4 linked regions of the Arabidopsis thaliana genome follow. The protein of the gene in region 1 interacts with the protein of each later gene in a pairwise test. Each region holds a gene or a part of one and is shown on either strand. Other genes may lie near its edges. The genes, in order: MAP70-5, ALF4, WAVH1 and PHOT2.

Evidence for each region.
Region 2: the proteins of MAP70-5 (region 1) and ALF4 interact in a two-hybrid assay, tested with the Arabidopsis thaliana proteins (one large-scale study listed by BioGRID).
Region 3: the proteins of MAP70-5 (region 1) and WAVH1 interact in a two-hybrid assay, tested with the Arabidopsis thaliana proteins (one large-scale study listed by BioGRID).
Region 4: the proteins of MAP70-5 (region 1) and PHOT2 interact in a two-hybrid assay, tested with the Arabidopsis thaliana proteins (one large-scale study listed by BioGRID).

Annotation. Positions count from the first base shown.
Region 1 is NC_003075.7:9,655,117-9,662,341, reverse strand, and holds MAP70-5 (microtubule-associated proteins 70-5), read left to right. Parts: upstream 1-2,765; 5' UTR 2,766-2,936; coding exon 2,937-2,997; intron 2,998-3,093; coding exon 3,094-3,179; intron 3,180-3,335; coding exon 3,336-3,401; intron 3,402-3,500; coding exon 3,501-3,671; intron 3,672-3,755; coding exon 3,756-4,082; intron 4,083-4,164; coding exon 4,165-4,311; intron 4,312-4,403; coding exon 4,404-4,475; intron 4,476-4,543; coding exon 4,544-4,975; intron 4,976-5,050; coding exon 5,051-5,202; intron 5,203-5,306; coding exon 5,307-5,334; 3' UTR 5,335-5,690; downstream 5,691-7,225. Other genes in the region: SCL13 (SCARECROW-like 13), read left to right, coding at 1-1,124; AT4G17215 (Pollen Ole e 1 allergen and extensin family protein), read right to left, coding at 5,917-6,194, 6,284-6,458. UniProt on the Arabidopsis thaliana protein: Plant-specific protein that interact with microtubules and regulates microtubule dynamics. May play a role in anisotropic cell expansion and organ growth.
Region 2 is NC_003076.8:3,489,058-3,497,454, forward strand, and holds ALF4 (aberrant root formation protein), read right to left. Parts: upstream 6,117-8,397; 5' UTR 6,094-6,116; coding exon 5,929-6,093; intron 5,773-5,928; coding exon 5,593-5,772; intron 5,495-5,592; coding exon 5,345-5,494; intron 5,256-5,344; coding exon 5,183-5,255; intron 4,859-5,182; coding exon 4,692-4,858; intron 4,577-4,691; coding exon 4,517-4,576; intron 4,404-4,516; coding exon 4,253-4,403; intron 4,160-4,252; coding exon 3,831-4,159; intron 3,748-3,830; coding exon 3,676-3,747; coding exon of another isoform or gene 3,661-3,675; exon of another isoform or gene 3,646-3,660; intron 3,242-3,645; coding exon 3,164-3,241; intron 2,974-3,163; coding exon 2,815-2,973; coding exon of another isoform or gene 2,782-2,814; exon of another isoform or gene 2,422-2,781; coding exon 2,370-2,421; coding exon of another isoform or gene 2,347-2,369; exon of another isoform or gene 2,181-2,346; coding exon 1,936-2,180; 3' UTR 1,731-1,935; downstream 1-1,730. Other genes in the region: TRS120, read left to right, coding at 6,275-6,685, 6,878-7,084, 7,192-7,374, 7,558-7,667, 7,741-7,800, 8,278-8,397. UniProt on the Arabidopsis thaliana protein: Required for the initiation of lateral roots independent from auxin signaling. May function in maintaining the pericycle in the mitotically competent state needed for lateral root formation.
Region 3 is NC_003071.7:9,642,866-9,649,430, forward strand, and holds WAVH1 (Zinc finger (C3HC4-type RING finger) family protein), read left to right. Parts: upstream 1-2,404; 5' UTR 2,405-2,567; coding exon 2,568-4,619; 3' UTR 4,620-4,790; downstream 4,791-6,565. UniProt on the Arabidopsis thaliana protein: E3 ubiquitin-protein ligase involved in the regulation of root growth. Acts as a positive regulator of root gravitropism. Possesses E3 protein ligase activity in vitro.
Region 4 is NC_003076.8:23,520,940-23,527,743, forward strand, and holds the start of PHOT2 (phototropin 2), read left to right. Parts: upstream 1-2,885; 5' UTR 2,886-3,154; intron 3,155-3,190; exon of another isoform or gene 3,191-3,271; 5' UTR 3,272-3,606; exon of another isoform or gene 3,607-3,783; 5' UTR 3,784-3,831; coding exon 3,832-4,340; intron 4,341-4,463; coding exon 4,464-4,646; intron 4,647-4,727; coding exon 4,728-4,819; intron 4,820-4,945; coding exon 4,946-5,153; intron 5,154-5,555; coding exon 5,556-5,772; intron 5,773-5,934; coding exon 5,935-6,005; intron 6,006-6,134; coding exon 6,135-6,241; intron 6,242-6,327; coding exon 6,328-6,377; intron 6,378-6,467; coding exon 6,468-6,572; intron 6,573-6,652; coding exon 6,653-6,712; intron 6,713-6,787; coding exon 6,788-6,804. Other genes in the region: ROS3 (RNA-binding (RRM/RBD/RNP motifs) family protein), read right to left, coding at 251-1,768, 1,866-2,210, 2,310-2,489, 2,624-2,827. UniProt on the Arabidopsis thaliana protein: Protein kinase that acts as a blue light photoreceptor in a signal-transduction pathway for photo-induced movements.

The sequences.
Region 1 (7,225 bases):
AAGAGGTGCTGGTGGAGGCTGCTCGGGCAGTCGCTGATGGGGATTTCGCTACAGCGTATGGATTCCTTGATGTCTTGGAACAGATGGTGTCAGTCTCAGGCAGTCCGATCCAACGGCTAGGCACTTACATGGCAGAAGGGCTTAGAGCGAGGCTTGAGGGGTCTGGGAGCAATATATACAAATCCTTGAAATGCAATGAACCAACGGGAAGGGAACTGATGTCTTACATGAGTGTTCTCTATGAAATCTGCCCCTACTGGAAATTCGCGTACACAACTGCGAATGTTGAGATCTTGGAAGCAATAGCTGGGGAAACCAGAGTCCACATTATCGATTTTCAGATTGCACAGGGATCACAATACATGTTTTTGATTCAGGAGCTTGCGAAACGCCCTGGTGGGCCGCCGTTGCTGCGTGTGACGGGTGTGGATGATTCACAGTCCACCTATGCTCGTGGGGGAGGACTCAGCTTGGTAGGTGAGAGGCTTGCAACTTTGGCGCAGTCATGTGGTGTCCCGTTTGAGTTTCACGATGCCATCATGTCTGGGTGCAAGGTGCAGCGGGAACATCTCGGGTTGGAACCTGGCTTTGCTGTTGTTGTGAACTTCCCATATGTATTACACCACATGCCAGACGAGAGCGTAAGTGTTGAAAATCACAGAGACAGGCTGCTGCATCTGATCAAGAGCCTCTCCCCAAAACTGGTTACTCTAGTAGAGCAAGAATCCAACACAAACACCTCGCCATTCCTGTCACGGTTTGTGGAAACACTGGATTACTACACAGCGATGTTTGAGTCGATAGATGCAGCACGGCCACGGGATGATAAGCAGAGAATCAGCGCAGAACAACACTGTGTAGCAAGAGACATAGTGAACATGATAGCATGTGAGGAGTCAGAGAGAGTAGAGAGACACGAGGTACTGGGGATATGGAGGGTCAGAATGATGATGGCTGGGTTCACGGGTTGGCCGGTCAGCACATCTGCAGCGTTTGCAGCGAGTGAGATGCTGAAAGCTTATGACAAAAACTACAAACTGGGAGGCCATGAAGGAGCGCTCTACCTCTTCTGGAAGAGACGACCCATGGCTACATGTTCCGTGTGGAAGCCAAACCCAAACTAGATTGGGTAAGTTATAGTGATGATGGTTACTTGAGTGGATAAAGAAGAGCACAACAAAAACACATCTGTCGCTGTAAATTTTTTAGGATGTGCAATGATGTTTTAAGTTGTAACACAACCTAAGTTATATATGTATACAAACCAAACCTGGTGGTTGTTTTTCTCTTGTAAATTGTCATGTGGTTGTGGGTGGGTTGCTAGTAATGAAATATAACCAAAACATTGATTAGGTCATTTTATGATCTTCTTCTATATATACCGGTATAAGTCAACTGGCGGCTGAACAAAGGTCGTGAGGTAACAAAATATGAGACAAATCTACAGGTCAGATTGGGTTCTGAATTCTGATAAGGTCTTAAAAAGGAGCTCACCAACCCACAAAACCATGGATTGAACAAGTACAGGTCATTGCCTTCATTTTATTCTTTACTTTTCTAAGGCTCAAGCTTCCTTTATTGCCTTTAATAACAATATACTAATGAGTATTTTGCACTCAGTAACAAAATTCAGGAGAGTAATTTTTTGCCCTAACATGTTACTTTTATGTGTTAAGAGTTTAGAATTTTGGATCTATGATTTTAGTTTTTGTTAGGGAATCATATTCATATAAATAAAATATTGCCATTGACTTAATTGTTGTTATTCACCTAATTTCTCTCCAAATTTGGTCATTTACCTCAGTTGATTCTATATTATACTTGCTAAGTGTTCTTTGTCTAATTCTCTATCATTGTTTGATTTAATAATAACCAAACCTTAAGACTTGGAAGCAAAGAAGAGAGAAAATCCCAATTAATTTTTAATAATTCAAAGAGAGATATTGAGTGACTTCCACTAATACAAAGAAAGCTTGGTTTGTGCAATATTTTGCGGTTAAGCTATTAATTGCTGAGGCAACACCTTTTCACACTTTGCTTTCCTTCTTCCAAGTTTTCAACTTTTCTTTCTTACTCTTTCTATTAATCAAACTGCAACACAAAAATCATTTGGATAATACATGTTTAGAAGATGATTAAGCTTTAGTTTTATTTCAAGATTATCATAATTGTTATCTGTTGTTACCTACATTCATATAATCTTATCAAAAACGATAAAGACAAAAAGGGGATACAATATAGGTTTTTATTATAAAGAAACAGGAAAGAAAGAAAAGGGTTTTCACCAAACGAAATTAGTTCAATCATTTAAATTATCTTTATCCTTATGATTAGTGTCTTTATATCTGTCATATGCTGCTTCTCCTTCCAACTTCCTTTGGATTATATTCTCTTCTCTTTATTTTAATTTCCATTTGTGGTAGCTGTTTTATTTTTTGTATTTTCACGCCGTGTCCCTTTAAAATAATATTAACTACACCACTAATGTTGGAACATGAAAAACATGAATGAGGTAATTATGATGATGAACCAAATGTTAAGGACAAGCTCGGTGTAACTAAGAAGATAATTAGTGAAACAGAACAAGTCAATAACTTGTAAGCATTTCAGAATTGAAAATAAAGATAAGGGAGGATGAATATGAATTTAGTAAATGGGTAATGAAAGTGAAAGAAGAAGAGGGAAGGGTTGGTTACTGTCTCAAGGGTTTGAAATGGAGACGGTTGCTTGAGAATGAGGAAAAAGAGTTAGTAAGTTTTTAACTCTCTCTTTCTCTCTCCCTCTCTCTTTTTCAACGTCAATTCCTTTAAGGAATGGCCTCTCTCTCTCTCTGAAAGTGTGTGTGTATATATTAAACGACTCCATTTCTCCTCTGCTTAGACCAAAACTCATCTTCTATACTGCAACAAAGAAGGAGGAGCCGTTGAGACTACAAAATGACTGCAGCAGAAAACCCTTTTGTATCTGACACCTCTTCTCTGCAAAGCCAGCTTAAAGGTTCTTATTTTTCTTTCTGTTTATTGTTCATCAACCCTTATGAGTAATTTGCTTGATGTTGAGGTTGTTCTGCTTTCTTTTAATTCCACTCTGCAGAAAAAGAGAAAGAGCTTTTGGCTGCTAAAGCTGAAGTTGAGGCTTTGAGAACAAATGAAGAGCTCAAAGACAGAGTCTTTAAGGAGGTAACATGCATGATGATCATCAACTCTGTTTGTGATTGTTCTACAAAAACTTTAAGTCAATCTTACCTATAAGTTTTTTTGATCAATGTTTTCCATATTCAAACTGTCCTTTTTGAGCTTCTTGAGCTCTATTGATGCTACTTGGTGTTGTTTCAGCTTAGAGAAAACGTGAGGAAGTTGGAGGAGAAACTTGGAGCCACCGAGAATCAAGTTGACCAAAAGGTGAGGTTTTGCTCAAATACTATAGACCATCTTTGTGAAGGACTCATGTCAAAACATTAGAAATGACTAGAATAAGTTAAGCTTGTGACATGATTGTAGGAGTTGGAGAGGAAGAAGCTAGAAGAAGAGAAGGAAGATGCATTGGCGGCACAGGACGCTGCAGAAGAAGCACTAAGGAGGGTTTACACTCACCAACAGGACGATGACTCTCTACCCCTAGAATCCATCATAGCTCCTCTTGAATCTCAGATCAAGATTCACAAGCATGAGGTTCTTAAGACTATATGTATTTCAAATTTCTTTCTTGTATCAGTGTGAAGTGCCAGATTTTCTTGACATGCTACTGTTTGACAGATTTCTGCACTTCAAGAGGACAAGAAAGCGTTGGAACGTCTAACAAAATCAAAAGAATCGGCGCTTCTTGAAGCAGAGAGAATCTTGAGAAGTGCCCTTGAACGTGCTTTGATTGTTGAAGAGGTCCAGAACCATAACTTTGAACTTCGACGACAGATTGAGATATGCCAGGATGAGAACAAGTTTCTTGAGAAAATTAACCGCCAGAAAGTGTTGGAGATTGAGAAGCTCTCCCAAAGCATTGTAGAACTGGAGGAAGCGATCTTGGCAGGAGGAACAGCCGCCAATGCAGTTCGAGACTATCGCCGCCAAATCTCCCAGCTCAATGCAAGTGTTCTGTTTAGTTTCTTGTACTTCATTCTCACATTTGTTTTAAAGGAAAATCACATGATTTTTTCATCGTTACCAGGATGAGAAGAGAACCTTAGAGAGAGAGCTAGCCAGAGTCAAAGTGTCAGCAAGTAGAGTGGCACTTGCAGTTGCTAACGAGTGGAAAGATGAGAACGATAGAGTCATGCCTGTAAAGCAATGGCTTGAAGAGAGAAGGATTCTCCATGTACTCACTGCTTTTCACTTACACATCCAGTTAATACACACTGACTAGCTTATATGGGAAACATTAGTGTTGAACTTTGTGTCTGTGTGCAGGGAGAAATGCAGAAATTGAAAGATAAACTCGCTGTTTCCGAGAGAACCGCTAAGGCTGAGTCCCAGCTAAAGGTGATTGCTTATGTAGTTAATATTCTGTTGGTAAAAAGTGTAGTTTCTAATGCAAGTAAACATTATAGGAGAGGTTAAAGCTTAGGCTGAAAACCATAGAAGATGGCTTGAAGGGCCCAAACACGTTTTTCGTCTCTCCAACTACAAAGACTGAAAAATCTGGCAAGATTTTAGGATTCTTGACCAGTGGTGGTGGCTCAAAGAAAAGGTCTAGTTCTCAGCTAAGAGGCTCAGTTACAGGCAGAATCCATGCTATGAATCAGCCAATTGACAGAGTTGGGGAAAGTGATGAAATGGAGAATTCAAAGATTACTGCAAACGGATTGACTGATCAACATGAAGAAGATAGCGAAAGGAAAACAGAGGAAGATGGAAATGTTTATTCTGAAGATATGGTTTCAGGGTTTTTATATGACAGGCTTCAGAAGGAAGTGATTGCTTTAAGGAAGCTATGTGAGAGTAAAGAGGGTACTATAAATGCCAAAAATGAAGAAATCAAGGTAACTTCATCATCTTCTTGTGGTTGTTTAAGATCCTCAACTATATGAAACCTCTTAAGATACCTCTGTTTTTAGATGTTGTTGAAGAAGGTGGATGCTCTAACGAAAGCCATTGAAGTTGAGACAAAGAAGGCAAAGAGGGAAGCCGCAGCGAGAGAAAAGGAAAACGCATTGGCAATGTTGAATGAAGAGTCAAAACTATGTAGAAAGGCAAAACTACCGAGAAGGTTTGGTCATCACATCCTTTGTTGTTTGTCTTTGTCTTTTGAGAAGTATACATAGTCAAACATCAAGACAGTTGATATTTATATGTTTATGCTATGTTGTGCAGCCGCATACCCAATCCACGTTGCCAGTAGAGGAAGAAGAAGCTTATGGGATTGAATACTAAAGAATATGGTCTAATGTTAGGTTGTACTGTACATATTGAGTATTGGATGATGGATTATAAGAAAGTGAAAACTAAAGATCAAGAGATGTGTATGTGTGTTATGTATATCGGATTGCAAAGCCATGTTTCCAGATGATGACACAAAACTCCTCTCTCTTCTCCTACCAATTAGTTGAATGTTAGCAATTATCTTGGAAACCTATAAGTAAATCAGAATCAGCTAAACACAAAAACATGCATATTCTCTCTCAAAGTCATACATAACCATATATGTCTTCTCTCAGATTTTTTGGTCTTGCCTTGGTTGTTAGGCTAACATAACAAACTTTGCATCTAATATATATATCATAATCAGTTACAGGATCGTATGATCTCTGTAGTAGCAAGAAGATCCAAGCTTGAAGAAAACATAAATTTTATTATATACAAGAAGAGCATGAAGAACAAGATTTACAAAGACTATCTCTCTTTCTCACAAGAAGTGAGAAGGAACCATATAGAAATAAAGTCAGGACTGATCTTTCCTAGCAAGATTAATTTACAGTCTCTTTTACATGGTGCTCTCTTGTAAGGTGATATTTCCAGCTGTATAGACACGAGAGCCGTTGGAAGAGGAGAGGAGTTGAATACCTCTGTGAATCTTGGAAGAGCATCGATACGGTTTAGGGACAGAGAGTGTTTTAATGATACAAGCCTTGTCTAAGTCAGGAATCGCGTGGAGGTGAGAAGGAAGATCGATGACGAATTGCCCCAACTCATTTGTCACAGCTTTGATCCATTTAGATCTCCTCCTATGTCCAGTATGGCACTTGAAGCCAATAGTAGCTCCTGTATGATGATGATGATGTGTTAGAAATCTCGTAGTATATAATATAAGGAATACGGACCAATCCACTTATTACCAACTGGTTACGTACCATGAATAGGGGAGGAGGAGGAAGAGAGAAGAGAGGCGGTGAGAAGAACAGAGGAGAGTTTTTGTTCGCCGTAGCCAGCCATCTCCACCATCTCATCTCTGCTCCATCTATCACTAAATGCTTCCCCAAACGTCACAATTAATACCAACGTCATGCTCATCAACAAGAACCTCATCTTTAATCTTCAAGGTCGTATATATGTGAAAAACTACCAACTGGCTTAGAAATGGAACAAGCAAGGATGTGTTATATATATACACACACAAAAATGAATGGATTAGTTGAATAAATTAAGAATATGAGATCCTTATTTTGCTTTTTTATAAGTAAAAATGCCTCTTCCATAATTTGACTTTTATCTTTTTTGGTCAAATTATATGACTCCTTAATTATATATCTCCTTGCTTATATAATAGTAGAAATTACTTGTTTGCCTAATCCTTCTTTCTTCTTCTTCTTTTCTTCTTCTAGTTAATAAATTTGATCAATCTTTGATCAATCTTTGGTCAAATATCAGTACGGTATGCGACGTTTCTTCTTTACAAATGTCTTTATTTTTTTAATATTATGTTTCAAAGTCTAACCTAAATTTAAAGTCACAATTGACAAATAATCAAGCCTGCCCCAACTGTTTTTCTTTTCTTCTAGACATTTGTCTTTGTCCCAAAGACAACTTTTTTGGGAGAGTTCTTGTGTGGGTTGGTTATCAATAATCTCTCCAAGGATAAATACAAAAATGTTTATTTGAATGATGTGTCTATGATGACCTATCAATATTATAATTTCATTCAATCTCTATTTATTGCATTTTCTCAATTATAACTACACAAAAAGATCAACAATTTCACATAATTATAGTGTTATCTTTAACTAAAAAGTGCATCAGGCTTTTATTATTTATAGCCAATATATATATATATATATATATATAAATATATAATT
Region 2 (8,397 bases), on another chromosome or scaffold:
TTTGGGTTTTTTAGAGAAGAAGAGAGAAGAAAATTCTGAGTAATTCAAGAAAGACCAAGAATGTGTTTTTGAAAGAGAAAGAGAGATTTGAGAAAAATATTCACTTTACTATTTAACCATTGTTGAAGAGAGCTCTGAGCAAGAAATGGTAAAAAGAAAGAGACAGAGAGGATTCAGACGAAATACTTGAGGTGGAGCAGTTACCATAAAGAATATCGGAAATTTCCTCCGGATAGGGAATATAATTTCGGTATTAAGGGAAATATATCATATCAATATTAATGTATGGGTCGACAAAATATTTACATGCCATGGATGTATACATATGTCAATCAATATTGTGATAAGGTTAAATATGTTTTTTTAATTATGTCTCTTATGTAAATCTTCTGGTAGAATTAGTTCACGTTAGTTCAATTTAAACAGGTATCATACAATAAAATCTCTGGTTCATAAACATTGATAAACCAAAAATTTACATCTTTGTTTTTCAAAATGAAAGTAGATTTATAGAATCTAAATTTATAGAATCTAAATTTTAAACATTGATAAACCAAAAATTTAAGTCTAAGAAAAAGTGTAGGGATACTTTAGACTTGACTTTCTAAGTTCTCCATCCAAAATTTTAAAGTAAAAAAAGTAAGAGAAAAGAAAAAAAGACTTTTTGTTATAGAATCTAAAAAAGCTGGTTTATATGTTTTTCCACACTTTTTAAACTAGCAGGATATGACTGGGGCAAACACGAACCATCGATGTGTAGACCATGAACTTAACAAGCTCCGTCTAATTACTGCGGTTAGATCATATTATATAGGGATTAGCAACGCTTGACTTTATATTCAACATGACGACTTCATTTCTGTTTTATCAATCCATTTAGCAAATTATGTATTGCTTTTTTTTACTATAATTAAATCTATTAGGTATTGAATGAATTCTGTTCAGGTAAAAAGAATTCGAATATGGATAAGGTTGGGTGGTCCATTCTGAAATACATATGCATGAACTGAAATATTTCATGTTATGAAACTATAGATTAGATAGTTAGTTGATATGTAACTATAATTCAAATTTTAAGAAACTACTATCACATGTTAGGTGACCAATGGGTTTGTCTCGAGACATTAAAATATATTTTCTTCCAACACCCAAGAAAGGCCACTATTAGCTATTATCTTTCTAATTATGCATATTGATTTGTCCTGAAGTATCTACCAGAAATCATGTTCTTTAGTCTTTTCATTTCAAATTAAATTACAGAATCTTAAATACGAGATGTGTTTCTTCAGTACTTGAAACATTTGTAGGTGAAAGATTTAAGAATTGTGTAGAATTGAAGTTACAGAAAATGCCGTTGAATTAAACGGCTTAAGATTGAGGTGGAAAATAGTAAGGGACCTTGAACGTGTGGTGCTGTGAGTAGTCTACATAACTATCAGCTCTGCGGATGCTTATAGCTCCCTTCTCCAGCCATTGGGTCGACATAAGCGTAGGAACTTAATTAGGTGAACCAAGACTTTGTATGCAAGTATTATGATCAAGTCATGATCACCAGCTGATAAACACTTGTCTGAGTTACTTTTGAAAGATTCTATAAGCCAAAAAACACGCTTTGGTGATCAAGACTTTGTATGCAAGTATTATGATTGGCTGATCCTAAGCCAAACCAATCACTGAGCCTGCTAAATAGAAATCTTTGGCTTGTGGTCTTGGCAATACACAACACAACACTCTTTTGCAAAAATGAAAGTTGGAAAGAAAGTAGAAGCAGGAGCAGGTTCACAAGTGAATGGGTTATCACTTATCAATATGAATATAGGTCAAGCAAAGTGCCACGACTCAAGTTGGAATAACCAAAGTTGCAGGAAAATATCAAACAAATTTTTTTTGTAACTAACAATGAGCCTACAATTGAAGTTCTCACTATTTTTTTGACTAATGACTTTTCAACTTTTCTTCCACGAGCTCGATGCATCGATATAGAACCAATTCAATTGGGTTCAGAAGCCCTACATCGTCGAGTGAAGATTCTTGGCCATGATCCTCCTTGAGGTTCTCAGCGATGCTGCAGCTCACAAGAGTTCGAAGAGGCAGAAGCCATTCCTTATACGCTTTCTCCAGATTCTTCTTTGACAAAATATCACTGCCGACTTTGCTTCTCTCTTTACCTGCTTCACATTCTATAGCTTTGTCTTGTCAGAAAAACACCACAAGAACAAGAGAGATGAAATGACAAAACCGCACTGCCTACTAATTTGCAATATTTTAAATAGTCAGATTTCCTCCATTTACTTGGAAGGAAATGAGATAAAGCAAAGTACATTTTCAACTTGACATTTTAACATTTTAGAGGGTATACGACTTTTTACCTCTCGATTCAAATAACAGTGCAAACCTGTAGAGGTTAAGTGCCGCCAGGATCTGCACAAACATCACACAAAGACTTTTGTTACACAAATGTGGTTAAATAATCGATCTTCAAACACAACCATGTTTCTCCTTATTTTCGTTCTGACCCTCTGATTCTTATAAATAGTGAAAATTCTGGGGTCTTTTGTTATCGCAGTTTTCCTTACGACAAGTTAGAAAACAATGCAACATCATAAAATTCCTTAATTAGCGAGAAAAGCAAGCTACTCTCATTTGCACAGAAAGGGGCATTTTCTCTATTTCTCGGTATGTATGTAATGTTTGTCCTTTTAAGCATTTACCTTAACCCATATCATTGCATTGCCTAAAGGGCTTATAGTATGCACATGAAAAGAGAAACAAAACATACTTTTAAAGAATTGATATAGGAAAAGAAAAGATCACCGCATCACTCTGGTCCGGAAGGAGTGGAGGACCTCCCTGTGGAGGCCTTAAGACCAACTCCACTAGCTCAATAACATGCGTATCAACAGCCGCACAATCTGTATCTTGCAAACTGCTTTTGCTCATGCTGTCTTTAACTAGACCCAGAAGGATTGCTGTCTGGTTGATTTAGCAAAAGATATTAGTTGAAATGGGATACCTTTCTCTTTTGGAACCAAATGTTTAAAAATATTATCTCAGTATGACTACTGAAGACATTAAACTATGCAGTTTATGAATGGTCAACGCCAAAGGTGACCATGATGGCATTTACTATTCATAAAGCTCAGTGGGATACAAATATACTAACCATTGAAGGAGACCGGGAATTTGTGACAAGGGCTCTTAAAACGTCAAACCTATGAGGAGCTGGGATATCAGAAAGAACCTAATCAAACAGCACAAAAGTAAGATTGTAAGACGAGATTATTAATCATCTCTGTTTAAACTTTAACCAAGCCCAATAGATAACTAAATTTCTGAATGAAGAAGATATGTTTTTAAAAAAGTATATGAAAAGAAAGAAAAGCAAGGCATATGGACTGAGGGTAGTCATTCTGTGTCAAAGTTGGCTGATACCTCTTCTACTTATAAAATATAATCAGCACAAGTCAAATCATCTGAATTGGTTAAACCATCATTTCTGTGTAAAAACATCAATAACGAGTATAGATCTAAAGAATCAGAATTTTGAGGAAACAAAAGCCATTCAAAAGTTTGTGTTGTTCGTTCTTTTTTTGTGGATTCATGCTTCATATAGTATCAATTCTGCGTCACTCAAAATCAGTTATCCAAATTTTGATTAAGTCAAGGTTTATTTACCCTCTTCAGTGCCTCAAATGTCTTTTTCCTCAGATCTGCGTCTGGCGCATACATGATCAGTAATGTAACAGCCTGGTTGAAAGAAACGAGACACTTGGAGCGCTAGTAATTGGTAAACCTGAATGGTGTAAAGATTAAGGAGAAGAATATTACACCTGTAAAGTAGCGTAGATGCCAGGCGTGTAGTCCGAACAATCTATTTGCTCATCATTGCATTGAGATGAAGTAACTCCTTTTGTTATGTCAAGCAAGAACTCGATAGCATGTCTTTTGAATTCCCAGAGCAGATCTCCAGAGGAAAGTATATATTTCAACATCCCATAAGCTTGCCACCTTTTCACTGGATTGTTTTGAAGCTCATCAACAACACTTCCTAAAACCGCATTAGCCGCCTCTGCAACCTCATGGGAGATCTTTGCACAGATGAATAAAAGCGATGCACCCAAGCTGATGTCAGGGAAAGAGGTGATAAACTCATCATCATCTGTTCATTTTACAACCATGAGACATGTGATACGAGAACAGATGCGTGTTATTGAGAAATCAGGAAGAAGTGTTTTTGAGTATTGAGAGTAACCTCCAGCAACCGTGCTCATTAATTTTTCAGTGTCATTCCCCGTGATTAAACCAAGATGTGTTAAACCACAGGATGTCAAGAACGGTTCTAACTGAATCACCAGAGGAATACAAGAGGCCGCTTTGTCTCTGATGCTAACTGAAATAATAGCCTGCAAAACCAGACCAAATCTAAGGTATTGAAGAAAATCTATATGCTCATAATAAAAGAGAAAAGTCAGAAAAGTTCCATGATATCGAAACAAAGTTGGAATCAAGTACAAACCGTTATCTGTATCACATAGAGACAAAGTAGACAACGGACTTTTGCTTCTTCTTCGTTATTCTGTAAAACAAAGAAAAGAGATCAAATCAGGCAAAACGAATATTCAAATTAGAGAATTTACACTTTGGGTAGTGATTTAGGGAATCCTAATTGCCAATTTATCAAACTTACAGACCAGTTTTGAAGAAACGTCTCGAATTGAAGAGGCAATGCCTAGAGCCTTATCAAATAAATCTTCAACTTGCACGTCTGTTTCCAATGAAATGTCCTTCAAAACGTTCAGGACAATTGGAACTGCAACCTTTAATTGCTCGTAGTGACGCCTCTGGATCAAAATAAATACTGAAACCAGGAAATTTGAATAACTTTTTACTGCTTCAGTTCACGAAGACTAAATTAATATCTTCAGTAACAAAACTAGTTAGGGATTCAAACACAAACTTTAAGATATTCATACTTAAGTACAATCAAAGCAAGAGTATTACTAAAATTGCAGGTGCCAAGCTAAAATTCACTTTCATGAGAGAAGTCTATAAATTTTAGGATATTCATACTTGTGTACAATCAAAGCAAGAGTATTACTAAAACTGCAGGTGCCAGGCTAAAATTCACTTTCATGAGAGGAGTCTATAAATATCTTGAAAACGAGAAATCTTCAACTGGTACCTTTAGAGAGCCCATGCAATAAAGGAGTAGAACAAGTGGAGGCTGAATGATAGCACCGTGCAGCATCGAGTGCCTGGTTCAGAGTCATAAGGTGATCAAAAAGAACTTGTAATCTTCTTATGCCAAATACCAAGAAGGAAAAAGAAATTCCAGATCAATTACCTCACAAAGAATTGAAAGCATATCCCGTGGATTGCATGCTTCCACAAACCGATCAACGATTTCCTCAACTAACTGTAAACATCTGCTTGATATGTCTGCAAACTTGGAAGTTACTTTTGGCAAGTGAAATGACAGTGCATCTATAACATCCTGTAATAAAATGAATCGGGGAACAAAATCATAAGCTTGGTTCTCTAAACAAAATCCTTCCGTTTGGCTTTGAAAGCGATTCGAAAACTGAAAAGTACCTGATCCATTTGAGGAGATGATAAAACTTTCAAAATTTCATCTAATACTTCTTCAATAACATCGTTCTCCAGTTCATTGTTAGCATCCAAAGCTACGTTCTCATACAAAGAATCCAAACAGCTGACAAGTTCTGTCACAAAACTCTCAAAGTCTTGAAATCCTCCGGCTTCTTCAACTGACTGAAAAATCACAAAATTAGCGGCGAATTTTTCATTCGAGCTCCAAAAATCACGAAACAGCTAAGTATTCATCGATCTCAAAGCATCTAGAAATTCCACCCAGAAAACAAATTACACAAACCCGAAACGAGGAGAAGAAGAAGAGAGAAAGCTTACACTGAAACACAAAGCTAAAAGTTCTCGTACACGACGCGAAGGAGAAGTAGTGACAGTAGTTGACTCGGAGCTCCCTTCAATGGACGATTCCATAACGCCAAAACTTTTCAATTTCGCCCAAGTTTCGTTCACAGTGAGAGTATTAATAATCGCGAATTTAACCATATCGTTTGGTTATATGAATAGAGTTTAACCCCGGATAGTCTAATTCTAACTAAGAATAGTTTAATACCTGTACCCAAACAGACCACGTTCTCTCTCTCAACACTTTCTCGTTTTCGTCTCCTTCAGATCCGGTGCACTCACGCTCACCGAAAGATCCTCACTCTCCTTCTCTGATCTCGCCATGGAACCTGACGTCAGTATCGAGACTTTGTCGATCATTCGGATCGCCGTCCTTCCGATCGGCACTATTCCGCCGACGCTTCTCCGGGACTACCACTCGATGCTGCTCCGTCATCACACGATCGCGCTCTCAGCTATTAGCTCTTTCTACACTGAACATCAGAAATCTCCATTCACGAATCAGCCGTGGGATTCCGGCTCTCTCCGGTTCAAATTTGTGCTTGGTGGTTCTCCTCCGAGTCCTTGGGAGGATTTTCAGTCTAATCGGAAGATGCTCGCCGTGATCGGCCTTTGCCACTGTCCCTCGTCCCCTGATCTTGATTCTGTCACTGAAAAATTCAATGTCGCTTGTAAGAGTTATTCCTCGGCTCTTGTCCGGCGCTGCTTCGCTTTCTCCCCTGGCGATTCGCAAGTAAGTATATTAGTTTCCATGCTTCTTATCTGCTATGGCATTCTTAGCTCGATGCCGATGGATCTAGCTAGCTTTTTTCTGATTTGTCTCTACAGTTGATAGTGATGTCCATTTTTTGTACCAGTGATTTAGTTACTTGCTTATGGATGCGTTAGATTGACGATTTACTGAACAATGTACTGTCTTTTGCAGCTTGAAGATGGAGACAAGAAGGGTGAAAATTTGATTTTGTTTCCTCCATCTGACAAGCAAACTCAGGAGTTTCATTTACAAACAATGATGCAAGACATTGCCGCTTCGCTGTTAATGGAATTTGAGAAGTGGGTTCTTCAGGCAGAATCTGCTGGCACAATTTTGAAGACGCCTTTGGATTCCCAAGCTAGTCTCAACTCAGAGGAGGTTTATGTCTAGGTGTCCTATAATTTGGTCTACGTTTCATTTCTTCCTCTGGAAGCTTATAACTTATTAGCATAGTCTTCTAGGCTCACTAGTTTTGTTTAATGCAGGTTATTAAGGCCAAAAAGCGTAGGCTGGGACGTGCACAAAAAACTATAGGAGACTATTCCTTGTTGGCTGGTTCACCTGTTGATGCCAATGCTCATTATTCTACTGCTCTGGAACTGGCCAGATTGACTGGAGATTACTTCTGGTATGCCGGTGCCTTGGAAGGCAGTGTTTGTGCCTTACTGGTAAGGCTTTATGCAAATATATCTCTAAATGCATTGTTCTTACATTTTTAATAGTATTATAGTCCAAAAACATGGATAGTGATGTGCTGTTTATCGAAAGTGCACTGATTATGAAATTGCTCTCATCTGTCCCTCTTTAATTAAGTTTGCAATCATCTTAGTTTTCCGTTTTCTTAATATTAGGTAGATCGGATGGGTCAACGTGATGTGGCTTTAGAAGATGAAGTTAGATATCGATACACTAATGTTATCTTGCACTACAGAAAGTCATTTATTCAAGAAATTGCTCAGAGGTAATTCTACCAACCTGTTTGGCTTTCTTCTTCGATAAACTTAAGTAATAGCAATCAATTCTCTTCCTTGCAGAGTTTCGCCCCTAAGCTTTGAACTCGAAGCTACCCTTAAGCTGGCCAGATTCCTTTGCAGGTATCATTGTATGCTCTCTATTTCTTTAAATTATCATGGTGTGGTTTCCTTTCTTGCCGTCTCCTGCTTAAGTTTAAGGTTGCTATGGTATTTTTGTCTAGTAGGAAGCTATATCGCTACTAAAATTTAAATATAAACTCATGGGATCTTGTGTGTGTGTGGCTTTGATCCTCTAAAACTATCTGCAACATTCAACTTATAATACCAATATATTGAGATTACTATTAAGTATTAAGTGGCCTAGTGGAGGATGGCTGTATGTTAATGTTTTGTGATTGATGGTGATGTTAGCTGGGAAAAGAATAATTATTACGTTTTGAAAAAGCTAAAATACATGGGTTTTCCGTTTAGTATGAAATGATACTCTCTGGTTGTGGCAGCTTTTATGTTTTTTTAACCTTCTGGTTGCATCCTCATTTTTTTCTTGGTATCTTTGATCTTAATCATTCTTACAATGTCATTTTATGTGTTGTGCAGGAGGGAACTGGCTAAGGAAGTAGTAGAGCTATTAACAAATGCAGCTGATGGTGCAAAGTCTTTAATTGATGCCAGTGATAGGCTCATATTATATGTTGAAGTAGCGCGTTTATTTGGAGC
Region 3 (6,565 bases), on another chromosome or scaffold:
GTTTCTGGGGATCTTCGTCCTATCTCCCATGCCATTCACTATCAATACATTTATTGATGCCTTCATTATCATCTTTCTTTTGTTTTTTTGCCGATCACTTTATTTTTTTAACTCGTACCATATTCTATAGCATTGATCCTCTTGTAGTCGTAGGTCGACTTTTGTTTTTATTTGATAGTAACACTTATGTCCTTGGTGATATGTATTTTTCAGAAATGCTTTTTCGATTTATTTAAATGTGTACCCTTTTGTCGACCAAAAAAACAAATGTGTACCCTATCTTTAGTGTTTACTTTGTAGTTTGTACAAAAATACGTTTTTATGTTCGAGCAAGTTTACTTTTGACAAAGAAATGTTATTATAATAATAATAATAATATATTGAAATATCAAAATTTTGTGTGTAAATTTATTTAATTATTTGAAAATTTCAAAAATTTCCAAAACAATACGAGTAGCTTTGCTTAAATATATCTAAAAATACACAAAATAACTAAAATATCCAAAAAAATCCTAATATTTTCTATATATAAGTATAAATATAACTAATATATACTTATATTTGAGATATGTTCGAATTTTTTGGATTTTAAAGTTTAGAACCGTTCGGGTATTTTAAAAGTTTGGTTTCGAGTTTGGATCGGATTTTTCGGATCGGGTTTTTTGGATCGGGTTCGGGTATTATGCACTGGCCTAGATAAAAGAAAGAAACCATTCATCACCTATAACATTTTTACTGCATCCACCGTTATTATCAGTATACGAACATTACCTCAGTTTCAGCATTATAGCTTAGCAATAAATAGCTGAAGAAATGTAGTTGGTATTATTGTTATAGCTTAGCTAGTGGTGGCAACATGTTTATTTTCTATTCACCAGGTGATGATGGCTTATCGGATCAAGTCTTGATTCGAACATTAAATGTTTTACATGGATCGATATATAAACAAGTTAAAATTGGCTCACATCCATAGATCGATCCCATAATCTATGCGTTTATACATTCACTGCACTGTATTAATTTAACCCAATCATATTTGCTCATCTACTACATTAAATTCTGTCAAAGTTTCAATAGTGTGTTACACAATAACGGTCAAACAACAAATGATTCTCCAATAACAACTATTTAGACAGTCAAAAATTTTAGCGTGAGACTAGACGGATCGATAGGGCATAATAGCATATATGTATAGCCCATACATTAATAACTAGACATTATTACAAAAATTTCGGTGCTAAACAAGTTTTTTTTTAATGGACCCTTTTATTAGATTACTTTAAATAAACCGATGTTAAAAATCTTGTTTACAAAAGTAATAAAATGCGGTTGGATATGAACATTTCGTGCTAAATAATCTGTTTTAACATTTTAACTTCAAAAAAATAAAAATAAATATAAAAATCAAACACATCCTTGTCTTCATGAATCGCCTCTAAATACGTAGCAAAGATTGGTCACTTTGTTGGAAAAGACACCACTTTTATCAAGTCTGAGGAATCTGTAAAGAACGTTACTTCTTGTTTGTCTTGACCAATCATACATCTTATTGTTCATACGAGTGAACGAGTGCTTCCACTTATGTAAATAGACATGTGAGACTTCTTCGTAGGTTGACATCACCTATAGTTGGATATTTTCTTGTTGGTAAGTTTTTAGATAGCCAAAATACTATTAAACATTCATAAGCAAGTGAAAATATTTATTTGAACGATTTAACTAAAATGTTGTTATGTATTTATACAAACATATATATTTTTTTATACATATACATGTTATTTTACTAAATAACGTTTTTGTCCAAAGTTTTTTTTACTGAATAACGTGTAATCAAATAAAATAATAAAAGAACAAGGGATCTCTTCTTGATAAAATATTTTGATTTCATATAAAAGTAGGTGATATCTATAAAATAAATTTACAAAATGTTTTAGTTTGTGAATGAACTTCAGAGTAAAATTGTAAAGTTAAAAGTAATTTTACAAATTTAAATAATTAGTTTAGTTATTTAGCAGATACATATAGTCAGTCTGCTATCATAGCATTTAGGTTGAAGCCTTTAAGTTTATCTTGTTCAATTTTTTATATAATATATATATATATATTTTTAATCTAGGTGGTAAACAAGCTTTATCACTTAAAAGGTTAAAATGAGTGGGGCAATAATAGATGTAGCTCATAAGTTCTATGTTGAAAAAGATTAATACCAAAAATCAATCATTTTCTTATAATCAACCATGGAGTAGAAAAGCAATTACACAAATAGAGTAACTTCTAAAATATTTACAGCTTTTTAGGTAGTCAATTACTATTAGTACTATTTCTTAATTCTCTCAATAAAATAAAATAATAAAAAATCATATAGATAATCCCAATATCCCCAATCTTCCACTATAATTGAACAAAAAAGACTCCTTTTTAAATTCAACCTCTCCCACCTTCTCTCTGCAACTCTCTCATTTTCTTAAAATCTCTTTCTCACAGAACCAAAAACCAAAATCTCAGTCTCAAACAAACAACAACAACACACGAGTCACGAGGTTGAAGAAGAAGAAGAAGAAGCAAATATGTTAAACGGCTGGAGAAGAGCTTTTTGCACTTCCATTCCCAAAGAAACTAACCAAAACGACGTCGACGACGACGGACTCGTTGGTCTCCGCCACAAATCAACCTCTCGATTCGGCTTTTTCTCAACTCCTTCTACGCCTCGTTCTGATTCCGGCACCGGAACTTACAGCCTCCGTTGCAGGACTTCAACAGCCACCGCCGTCTCCACTACTTCATCTCTTCCCGGAACTCCAAAGCTTAAGTGCAAAACCACCACCACCGGAGAAACAACTCCCAGAAACAGAAGCCTTGTCTCTCTTTTAACACCTTCTTCTTCTTCTATTTCTCCGGCGAGCTTCACTCTCCTCAAATCCAAACTCCGATTCAAGCAGAGTAGCAGTAACAAATGTGGAATCTGTTTACAGAGTGTGAAATCAGGTCAAGGTACGGCGATTTTCACGGCGGAGTGTTCTCACACGTTTCATTTTCCTTGCGTAACCTCACGCGCCGCCGCGAATCATAACCGTCTTGCTTCTTGTCCGGTTTGCGGATCCTCGCTTTTGCCTGAGATTCGAAATTACGCTAAACCGGAATCTCAAATCAAACCGGAAATTAAAAACAAGTCGTTGAGAGTTTACAACGATGACGAAGCTTTGATTTCATCTCCGATATCTCCCGCCGGATTTCACACAATACTTGAATCAGATGAGAACGAAGACTGCGAGGAGTTTACAGGATTTTCCGTTAATACTCCGTCACCTTTAACGGCGAAATTGTTAACGGATCGAAACGTGGACGTTAAGCTCTCTCCGGAATCGGCTATCGTTGCGTCGGGTAAAGGCTACGAGACTTACTCCGTCGTCATGAAGGTGAAATCGCCACCGTTTCCGACGGCGCGTGGATTTGCGCGTAGAGTGCCGGTGGATTTGGTTGCTGTTTTAGACGTAAGCGGGAGAAATTCCGGTGGGAAATTGGAGATGTTGAAACAAACGATGAGGATTGTGCTTTCGAATCTCCGGGAGATGGATCGTTTATCGATTATTGCGTTTTCGTCCAGCTCGAAACGGTTATCGCCGTTACGGAGGATGACGGCGAACGGGAGGAGATCGGCGCGAAGAATCGTAGATATCATCACCGTTCCTGGTTCTGTCTCCGGCGTCGGAATTGATTTCTCCGGTGAAGGGATGAGTGTGAACGACGCGTTGAAGAAAGCGGTTAAGGTGTTAGACGATCGCCGGCAGAAAAACCCTTTCACCGCCGTGTTCGTTTTAACGGACCGTCAAGCCCATCAAGTGGCCCAATTAGCCCATTCGAGAATCCCTATACACACCATATGGCTTAGCCACGCGATTCCCGAAGACGCGTTTGCGAGGACCATCAACGGTTATTTGAGTTTGTCGGTTCAGGATCTCGGTTTACAGCTCGGGATAGTTTCCGGGTTGGGTCAAGGAGAGATAACTTCTGTTTACTCTCTTTCCGGTCGACCCGCTTGGCTTGGAACCGGTTCAATCCGGTTAGGTGATATGTATGCGGAGGAAGAAAGAGCGTTGCTGGTTGAAATCAAATCACCGGTTAACAATTCCTTAACCGGTAGTAGATCTCACAAAATCATGACCGTTAGATCTCGTTACGTGGATCCAACAACTCAGGAATTAAGAAACCCCGAAGATCGCGCGCTTTTAATACCTACTCCTCTAACTGTCCGATCATCATCAAATCCCAACATCTCACGGCTCAGAAACCTCCACGTCAGCACTCGAGCCGTCGCGGAGTCTCGGCGGCTAATAGAGCGTAACCATTACTCCGGAGCTCATAGATTGCTGACGTCAGCTAGAGCATTGCTTGTGCAGCACGGTTTGAGCTCGAGCGATGCGTGTATACGTGGACTGGACGCAGAGATAGCTGATCTTAATAGTGTGAAAGGAAGACACGTGGCGGCATCAGAGAGTTTGGAGTCGCTTACTCCGACGTCGGCTTGGAAAGCGGCGGAGAGGTTGGCTAAAGTGGCGATGGTGAGGAAACATATGAACAGAGTCAGTGACTTGCATGGTTTCGAAAACGCTAGATTTTAGCTTTTTTATGTATTTAAATATATTTCCATATTTAGAGTAACAACTTGTGTAATAATAATCTGATACAAACAAATAGAAATGGTGCATAAATGGAGTTATATTTGGTCAAATGATAAGTTTGGATAGTTATTTTATATCATTCAGCTTTTATGCGATTTCATTTCTCACCGTAAAGTTGATTATACAATTTTGGTTAGGGAATTAGGTAGTAGGTTTTACCAAATCAATCTTAATATTTAAAATTGTATAAAGAACAAACTATATATTAAGCCACTATCATATACACTCAATACTAAAATCTTACACGCTTAGAGAAACTCGTGTAAAATGTCAATGTAAAATGAATTTTAGCAAAAAAGAAAGAAAAAGAAATCAATGTAAAATGAATTGGCCGGTGATATTTGACTGAAAACATGACTAGAGCTCTTCCATTTGTTTTGTTGTAAAATTTATACGCATTCGAAATGCTTATAACATACATTAGTCGTGTTGAACATGGTATGATCTTTTCTTTTACTTAATTAATCTCTTATGAGAACTTTTTATATATATATTTTTGTGCTTTACAATTATTATAGTGAAACTTTTTAGATAGAGCCTATATTCTATGTGTACTTCTTCGTAATGGATGTGTAGATTATAAATACTAAAATGTAGTCAAAAACAAGGGATGTAGCCTTTTCGCGGCTACACACTGATTAAATTCGTTGTATCCAATGATGGTCAACAAAATATTTTCTAAGCAATACAATAAATCAGCAATAAACAATTCTAAAGAAGCCTTATAAATATGATTGCAAATGCTAATAATTGAGTTTAGGATATCATTTTAACGGCGGAATTCTGTCTCCTTTTTGTTTGTCTCGTAGGCTTTTTACACCTCTCTTATCATTTTAACGCCGGAATTCATAGTACTATGAATCTATGATTGCTAATGAGTAATGCCACATCTCTTTTGGGAGTCGCTTGCGTTACGCACAAAATGCATCATATTTTCCCAATTGTCTAGCAATTAGCCGCAAAAGATCAATGTTTACACAAGATTCAGTAGGTATCTCGATTGATCGGTCATTATCTATAGTTTTATCCGAAATTAACTAAAGAAACTTATCAACTTCTTAGATAAATTAATGGTTGTAGAAACCCCTTGACTTAGTAGTTGATTTTGTGAACTTTTAAGACAAGATGCGAGATATGAATCATATGATTTACGCATAATTCATATATATTTTTTACATTATGGATACAAAAAGTTTAAAGTTGTTGTAGATAGATCTGTCGTTGGATGGTCTCGTGTATTCCAAACCGGTTAAATTTATCTAAATGTAAGTTTATCTTAGAAATTTTGATTAGTCAATTAGTCACATGTCTATCTCAACCAGCTTCTTGAACTACTCGAAAATAAATTGCTAAAAGATATCACTTTTGTTAAAAATACAAAACTTATATATAAGCATCGGCCTAAGTGTTATATATAAGCATCGGCCTAAGTGTTACATACTTTCATTTTATTAGCCCGACTAACGTATACCACCAACTTTTAAAAGTTTTGAATAAATTCTTGTAACTTTAGTCAAACAGAGAGAAAGAGAATAAAAGCCAAAAACAACTTTGAAAGCAAATGTTTTTGGTACGTTTAATTTGGAAAGCGATGGTGCGTTCCACTAAAGAGATGCAATAATGGTTCGCACGACTATATCTAAAAGTTCATATCATATCTAAACAAGTTCAAGATTTAGTATATACATGGACACGTATTAATTTATGTAGACCAAAAGCCAAAAAGTAGTTCACAAATTTATGTTAGTGGAGAGAGGAGAGTTTTGAAATGATCAAGAAGACAAAATGACCCTAAATACTTATCTTTAATTTAATAACTCTTTTATAATGTACTTTATCCATTAAGAATCTCAAAAAGCTCTCCAAACATAAAGAGTTTGATCCTT
Region 4 (6,804 bases), on another chromosome or scaffold:
AAATGAATCATCAGTCTCTTTTGATCGCTTCATGAGGTTTTTTATTGTATACGAAACCTTCAGAAAAAATACATGTATCCATGCTTGTTGTTGACGTCAAAGTTCAGTTCATCAAAAAGATCTTATCTAATGAGAAATGCTTTTTATAGAAGTGTACCTTAAAACCTTGAATTAAAAAAAACATTGTATTGTGTTAAGCACAAAAACTGTGGAGGGATACATAATTTGAAGAGCCTCTGATAGTATTAACTCATTCTTCGCTATTTTTCTTTCTCCTGGGCTCACTCAATGCCTTCTTAGCCTTTGCCCACTCTTTCAAAGAAGTCGAGCTTCTCATAAATGTGCAAGTATCCCCCGACCCAACCTTTCTCTTAATTATCTTCTTCTTCGCACCCAATTTAGCTCCTTCACTCACATTCTTACCATTCAGACGCTGCCGATTCTCATCTAAACTTCTCACAGGGGTACTATCCACAGGGACTCCCGCAGCCACAAAACCACCGCTGCTAGATGCGTAATCTGTTTGTTTCATTGCACTTGCAGTCTGGTTAGAGTTGGAGAACTGGTTTCCTACATTGTTGATCACTCCAGCTGCTTCGCCCTTGTCTGAAGTTAAATCTGGGAAGAGTTGAGTTATACTGAATGAAGAAGTATTTTTGTCGCTAACCAGCTGAGTCCACGAAGCCTTCTGAAGCCATGAAGAACCTCCTGTTGACTTGTTACTAGCTTTCAGCGGTCCTTTACCCGCCTCTTCTTCATCTACAACATTTTCCTTCACGACTAAGCTTTCCTTTTCTGCATTCAAATCCTCTGCTACATTTTCATGCTTCTCCACATTCGACTTGCCGTCCACACTATCGCCCTCTGTGTTTGCAACAAATTCCAGGGGGACAGCTTCAACACTTGTGTCACTAACAGTATCTGCAAGTGATCCTGAGTCGTCTGAACCTACATCGTCATTAGCTGTGTCATCGCACATAGAGTCAATAGCTGTGTCATCTTCCACATTATCACCATCATCGCTCTCAGCCATAGAGTTACTAACTGTGTCATCGGCCATAGAGTCAATAGCAGTGTCATTTTCCACAGCATCCCCATCATCACTCTCAGCCACAGAGTCACTAGCTGGGTCATCTGCCATAGAGTCAATAGCTGTGTCATCTTCCACAGCATCACTATCATCCCTCTCAGCCACAGAGTCACTAGCTGTGTCATCTGCCATAGATTCACAAGCTGTGTAATATTCCACAGCATCACTATCATCCCTCTCTATGTCATCTGCCATTGTGTCACTATCATCCCTCTTTATGTCATCTGATACAGGTAAATCCTCTGCCATGATTGTAGACGTTACACGCTTTCTTTTCGTCTTCTTCTTCAAATTTTCTCGGCTAGGAAGCCCAGCAAGATCAGTGTTGCGTGGTGCAGGTTGTACTGCTTTACTGGAGCCAACACCTGGCAAGAAACTGGATACACTAAAATCATTGCTGTTCCCATTTGCCATAAGTGATTTCCAGGAAGACTTTTGGGACCAGGAAATATTGTCGATTGACTGCTCAAGATCTTTTGTTCTGCTCGGTTCATCCGATGATTTATCTGGTACCACTTCAGAAGGCTTCTTCTTTCCACGTATGGCCTGTGAAGATTCCTGTCTTCCAGTTTCCTCTAGGCTGATTGTTTGCCTATTCTTGCTTGGATGAGTAAGGTTCCCTTTTCGTCCTTCACTATATCCTTCTTCACTTGGTGTTTTTTTGTTGAGAATTGATTTCTGAGTTACAATCAAAGAAAGAGCCAGATCAGGGATGAGGTAGATGACTCATTATTGGGTTAAGTATAATAGAAAAAATATAAGTAGCACTACGTACCCGTTTTCTAGACAACATATCCAGCGCTGAGTCCATATCATTGCCACTAGATGCCACATTGATGATGAGGTTATCTTGGTCTGCTTCAATCTCATTGTCTTCTTCGGGGTCCACATTGTTTTTCTCAAAGAGCTTATTCATCACCGAGTTCATAACATTCACCTCGGCTTCTTGTCTTCCCACATTAACCGCTTCCAGATCATGAAGATGTATTTCCCGAGGAGTGAGAGAGCTGTTAGAGTGCTCTTCACAATCACAAAAGCTCCTTGGAAGAGAAGACGACACTGGAACACGCTGAAAGCTATACTTATGTTTACCAGTTCCACTAAGTGGCATAGGTTTCACCTGCACCACACATACGTAGCTCAAACCCTAATCTCTTACTACTCCTAGTACTAACTATGTCATATAAATGTTACAACTTTGAAGGAGCATTAGTAGTACCTTTCTGAGTCTGGGAAAGAAGATGTTAAGGTGAGTGGCAGGTGGTGAATCGGAGGGAGCTTTAATGGTGTTATCAGAGGTAGAAGACGCTGCCTCCCACTCTCGCTTTAAGCGAGCTAGATAATGCTCTTTTGCTTTCTCCAGTCTCAGCCTCCCTCCTTTCCAGACACATCCATTATACTGCCAAAATCGAATTAGGGTTAAGAATAACAAGAGTAAGGAGAGAGAGAGAGAGAGAGAGAGAGAGAGAGAGAGAGAGAGAGAGAGAGAGAGAGAGAGAGAGAGAGAGAGAGAGAGAGATCGAATTCACTCACTGTAGAGAAGAGCTTGGTGAGTGAATTGGTGGAAGATGGAGAGAAATCGATGTAGGCAAAGGAACGACCTTTGGTCCTGACGAATTCGACGGCATCGACGGTACCCATCGGAGAGAATATCTTGAGAAGATCATCTCTCCCGACGCTTTCTCCTAATCCGCCGACGTGAAGCCTAACGCCGCCGCCGCTGCTTTTTTCCTCCATTGCTGCTTGCTTCAGTTGGATTCAGTTTTCCCTCGCCTCTCCCTCACTTTCCTTACTTCTTAATCTTAACTAATAAGGCCCATTAGAGAAGACCCACTAGGACTTAATGGGCTTTTAGCGGGAAAATAATAAGGCCTAACAAGTTTTTAGGGGTCCCTTCTCTTTAATTTCATCGACATTATTTGAAACAGACAGTGAAAGAAGAAACAAATTGTGGATTCGTCGTCTGCGAAAGCATCTGGGAGAGAAGAAGCCACAGTCATTTTCTTAAACGTGTTCATTTTTCGTCTAATCAAATCATGGCGCATGTTCTGTTCTACTACAATCGTAAGTTTACTGGGTTTTATCTATTTATTGTTTATTCATTTTACATTGAAACATGTCTGAATTATTGTACTGGAAAAATTGATGTGAGGGGTGTAATAAATTCGTTTGATTATGAAGAAAATTTGTGAAAGAAGAGGGAATGATGAACAAGAGTGCACGTATTAAGAGGAAACAGAGTTGTGTGGTCCTTGACCTTGAGGGTGAAAAAGGGTCCATGTGAGTTTGATTATTGATAGCGATGTCTATCCTCCCAGGCTTCCGCATCGCTCATTTGCAGCCTCAGAAACATGATTGTCTTTTTAAAATAACTCAAATAATAATATAACTGGGTTTTGGAAACAGTACAGTTGTGTTTTTTAATTGGTCTATCTCTCTATCTTTCTCATCGTCTTTGCTCCTTTTAAAGACTGTGTACTATATTTCCATGAGTTGCAGCTGATAAAGCTACTCTGGTTGGTATATATATATTTTTCATTTATTTTATCTACTTCACCTTCTTTAACGTGTTTTGTTGATTTGCTTCTAAAGACTTTTAATGGCATTTATTACTTTGTTTCTCGAACCTACAGTTGTGTCTGCCTCTTCTTTCTATCTAACTTGTCTATGTGGTGTCTGGTTTTGATTTGCAGACTATTCATTACTCTGTTTCGCCATAAGAAAGAGAATAAAGAAACGTTATGGAGAGGCCAAGAGCCCCTCCATCTCCTTTGAATGATGCGGAGTCATTAAGTGAACGTAGATCTCTTGAGATTTTCAACCCTTCGAGTGGAAAAGAGACACATGGATCAACTTCTTCTTCTTCAAAGCCTCCTCTTGATGGCAACAACAAAGGTAGTAGTAGTAAGTGGATGGAGTTTCAAGATTCCGCTAAGATTACAGAAAGAACCGCTGAATGGGGATTGTCAGCTGTTAAGCCGGATTCGGGAGACGATGGCATTAGTTTCAAGCTGTCCAGTGAAGTGGAACGAAGCAAGAACATGTCTAGGAGGTCATCCGAAGAATCTACATCTTCTGAATCAGGGGCCTTCCCTAGAGTATCCCAGGAGCTCAAAACTGCTCTATCCACGTTGCAGCAGACTTTTGTTGTCTCTGACGCTACACAGCCTCACTGTCCCATAGTCTATGCCAGCAGTGGATTCTTTACCATGACTGGTTATTCTTCCAAGGAAATTGTTGGAAGAAACTGGTACTGCTCATCTCGTATCTTGCTTCTAGTTTCATTCCCAGTTATTAGTTAGAATAATATTGCTTTTGAAACCCATGCCAACTTACTCTGAAATGCTCTTAATCTTTGTGGGTAAAACGCCAGCCGGTTTCTGCAAGGGCCAGACACCGACAAGAATGAGGTTGCCAAAATCAGAGATTGTGTCAAGAATGGAAAAAGTTACTGTGGAAGGCTGTTAAACTACAAAAAGGACGGAACTCCCTTCTGGAATCTTCTCACAGTCACTCCTATCAAGGACGACCAGGGCAATACCATCAAGTTCATTGGGTACGTCCCTTAATTCCTCCCTGTTTTTCCCTAATTAATCGACTGTCCCTCGATCAATCATTTTCACATTTCCATCTGCAGGATGCAGGTTGAAGTTAGCAAATACACAGAAGGGGTAAATGATAAAGCATTGAGGCCTAATGGACTCTCCAAATCCTTGATTCGATATGATGGTATCTGTTTTTTTGCATCTCTTCGTTAATTCAACAAGTTTTTTTTAGCCAAAAACAATGATATAATTTAGCAAAGAGTGCTGATCCACAATCTTTAACATGTAATGGTTTTGATGATGATATCAGCTCGCCAGAAGGAGAAAGCTTTGGATTCCATCACAGAGGTTGTGCAAACTATAAGACATCGTAAGTCTCAAGTTCAGGAATCCGTGAGCAATGACACTATGGTAAAGCCTGATAGTTCTACTACACCTACACCTGGTAGACAAACAAGACAGTCAGATGAGGCTTCAAAGTCTTTCAGGACACCTGGACGTGTTTCTACTCCAACGGGGTGAGTCTTCGTAACCACTAACCACCAGATTACAGTAGTCTTCCTGAACATAAAATAAGGCATATATATTGCCCAAAAAGTGTGATGGCAGTGCCAAAGTTTTGCAGAAACAACTTGCTATTATCATTGCCAAATAGTGGTAAAATATATACTACACAATCTCAATCTAGTTGTTGTGTTAGTCAATATTTAACTCATAGATAATTTCCATTCGAATACGAAGATGCAGTTGCAATCTCCTACTATTGTTCTGTTTCTTATTTCTCGTGTACTTTTGTAACTTTGTGCTGGGCCTTAGAATGTATCCTCTGACATGGATTGGGTAGTGAATTCTGAAGCTGTGTATATATATGTATACATATACACTCAAGGATTTCTGATCTAGCTTCGTGTAATGTGCAGGTCAAAGCTCAAAAGCTCGAATAACAGGCATGAAGATCTTTTACGTATGGAACCCGAAGAATTGATGTTGAGCACAGAAGTAATAGGGCAGAGGGACAGTTGGGACCTATCGGATAGAGAAAGGGATATACGCCAAGGGATTGATCTAGCTACCACTCTTGAGCGCATAGAGAAGAATTTCGTCATCAGTGATCCTCGTCTCCCTGATAATCCCATTGTATGTTTTTTCTGTCTAAAATTGAGATGAACGTTTTTTTCTCGAACCTTAATGTATCAATTGTAGAGTATATTTCATATATTGATTGTTCTTACTCAAGTGTTCTACTATGTTTGTAAGCATATAATCTTGAATTGATAATGGAAATCGTTTTATTTGCAGATCTTTGCATCAGACAGCTTTCTTGAATTGACAGAGTATTCACGCGAGGAAATATTGGGGAGAAATTGTCGGTATGTGAAAATTCTTCTTTTTGTATCTTCTACTCATGAGATTTATCATGCCTTTTAAGTTATGCAGTCTTCTCCGGCTGCGTTTTTGTTGTTTCGTGATATGGATATGTGCAAAGTGGTTGGCTTCAGGTTTCTTCAGGGGCCAGAGACAGATCAAGCGACTGTCCAGAAGATAAGAGACGCAATTAGAGATCAGAGGGAGATTACTGTGCAGTTGATAAACTACACTAAAAGCGGTAGTTATCAGATACTGAACATTTTAAAACGATCATACTGAAAAGTTTCTATGTGGTTGTGTCATTAAAACTCTAAACCATTGCAGGAAAGAAATTCTGGAACTTATTCCACTTGCAACCTATGCGTGATCAGAAGGTCTTCGTGAGATTATTGTTATATCTGGATTCCGATTCTTGAAGAAAACCGTGCATTGTTGCTGATTACATGACTTTATTCATCTATTAGGGAGAGCTTCAATACTTCATCGGTGTGCAGCTTGATGGAAGTGATCATGTAGAGCCCCTCCAAAATCGTTTGTCTGAGAGAACAGAGATGCAGAGTTCGAAATTGGTATGTGGTTCATATCCTACTGAGTTTTTTGAACATCTCTTTCCTATCAAAGGAGACTATGACATTGGTCACAATTTTAGGTGAAAGCTACGGCAACAAATGTAGATGAAGCTGTCAGAGAGCTTCCAGATGCTAATACGGTAAGGTGTACTAGTTCATTATTACTTAACAAAGATGGAAAAGTATAAATGCAATCGAATTGCAATGTATTTTAGCGGCCCGAAGACCTGTG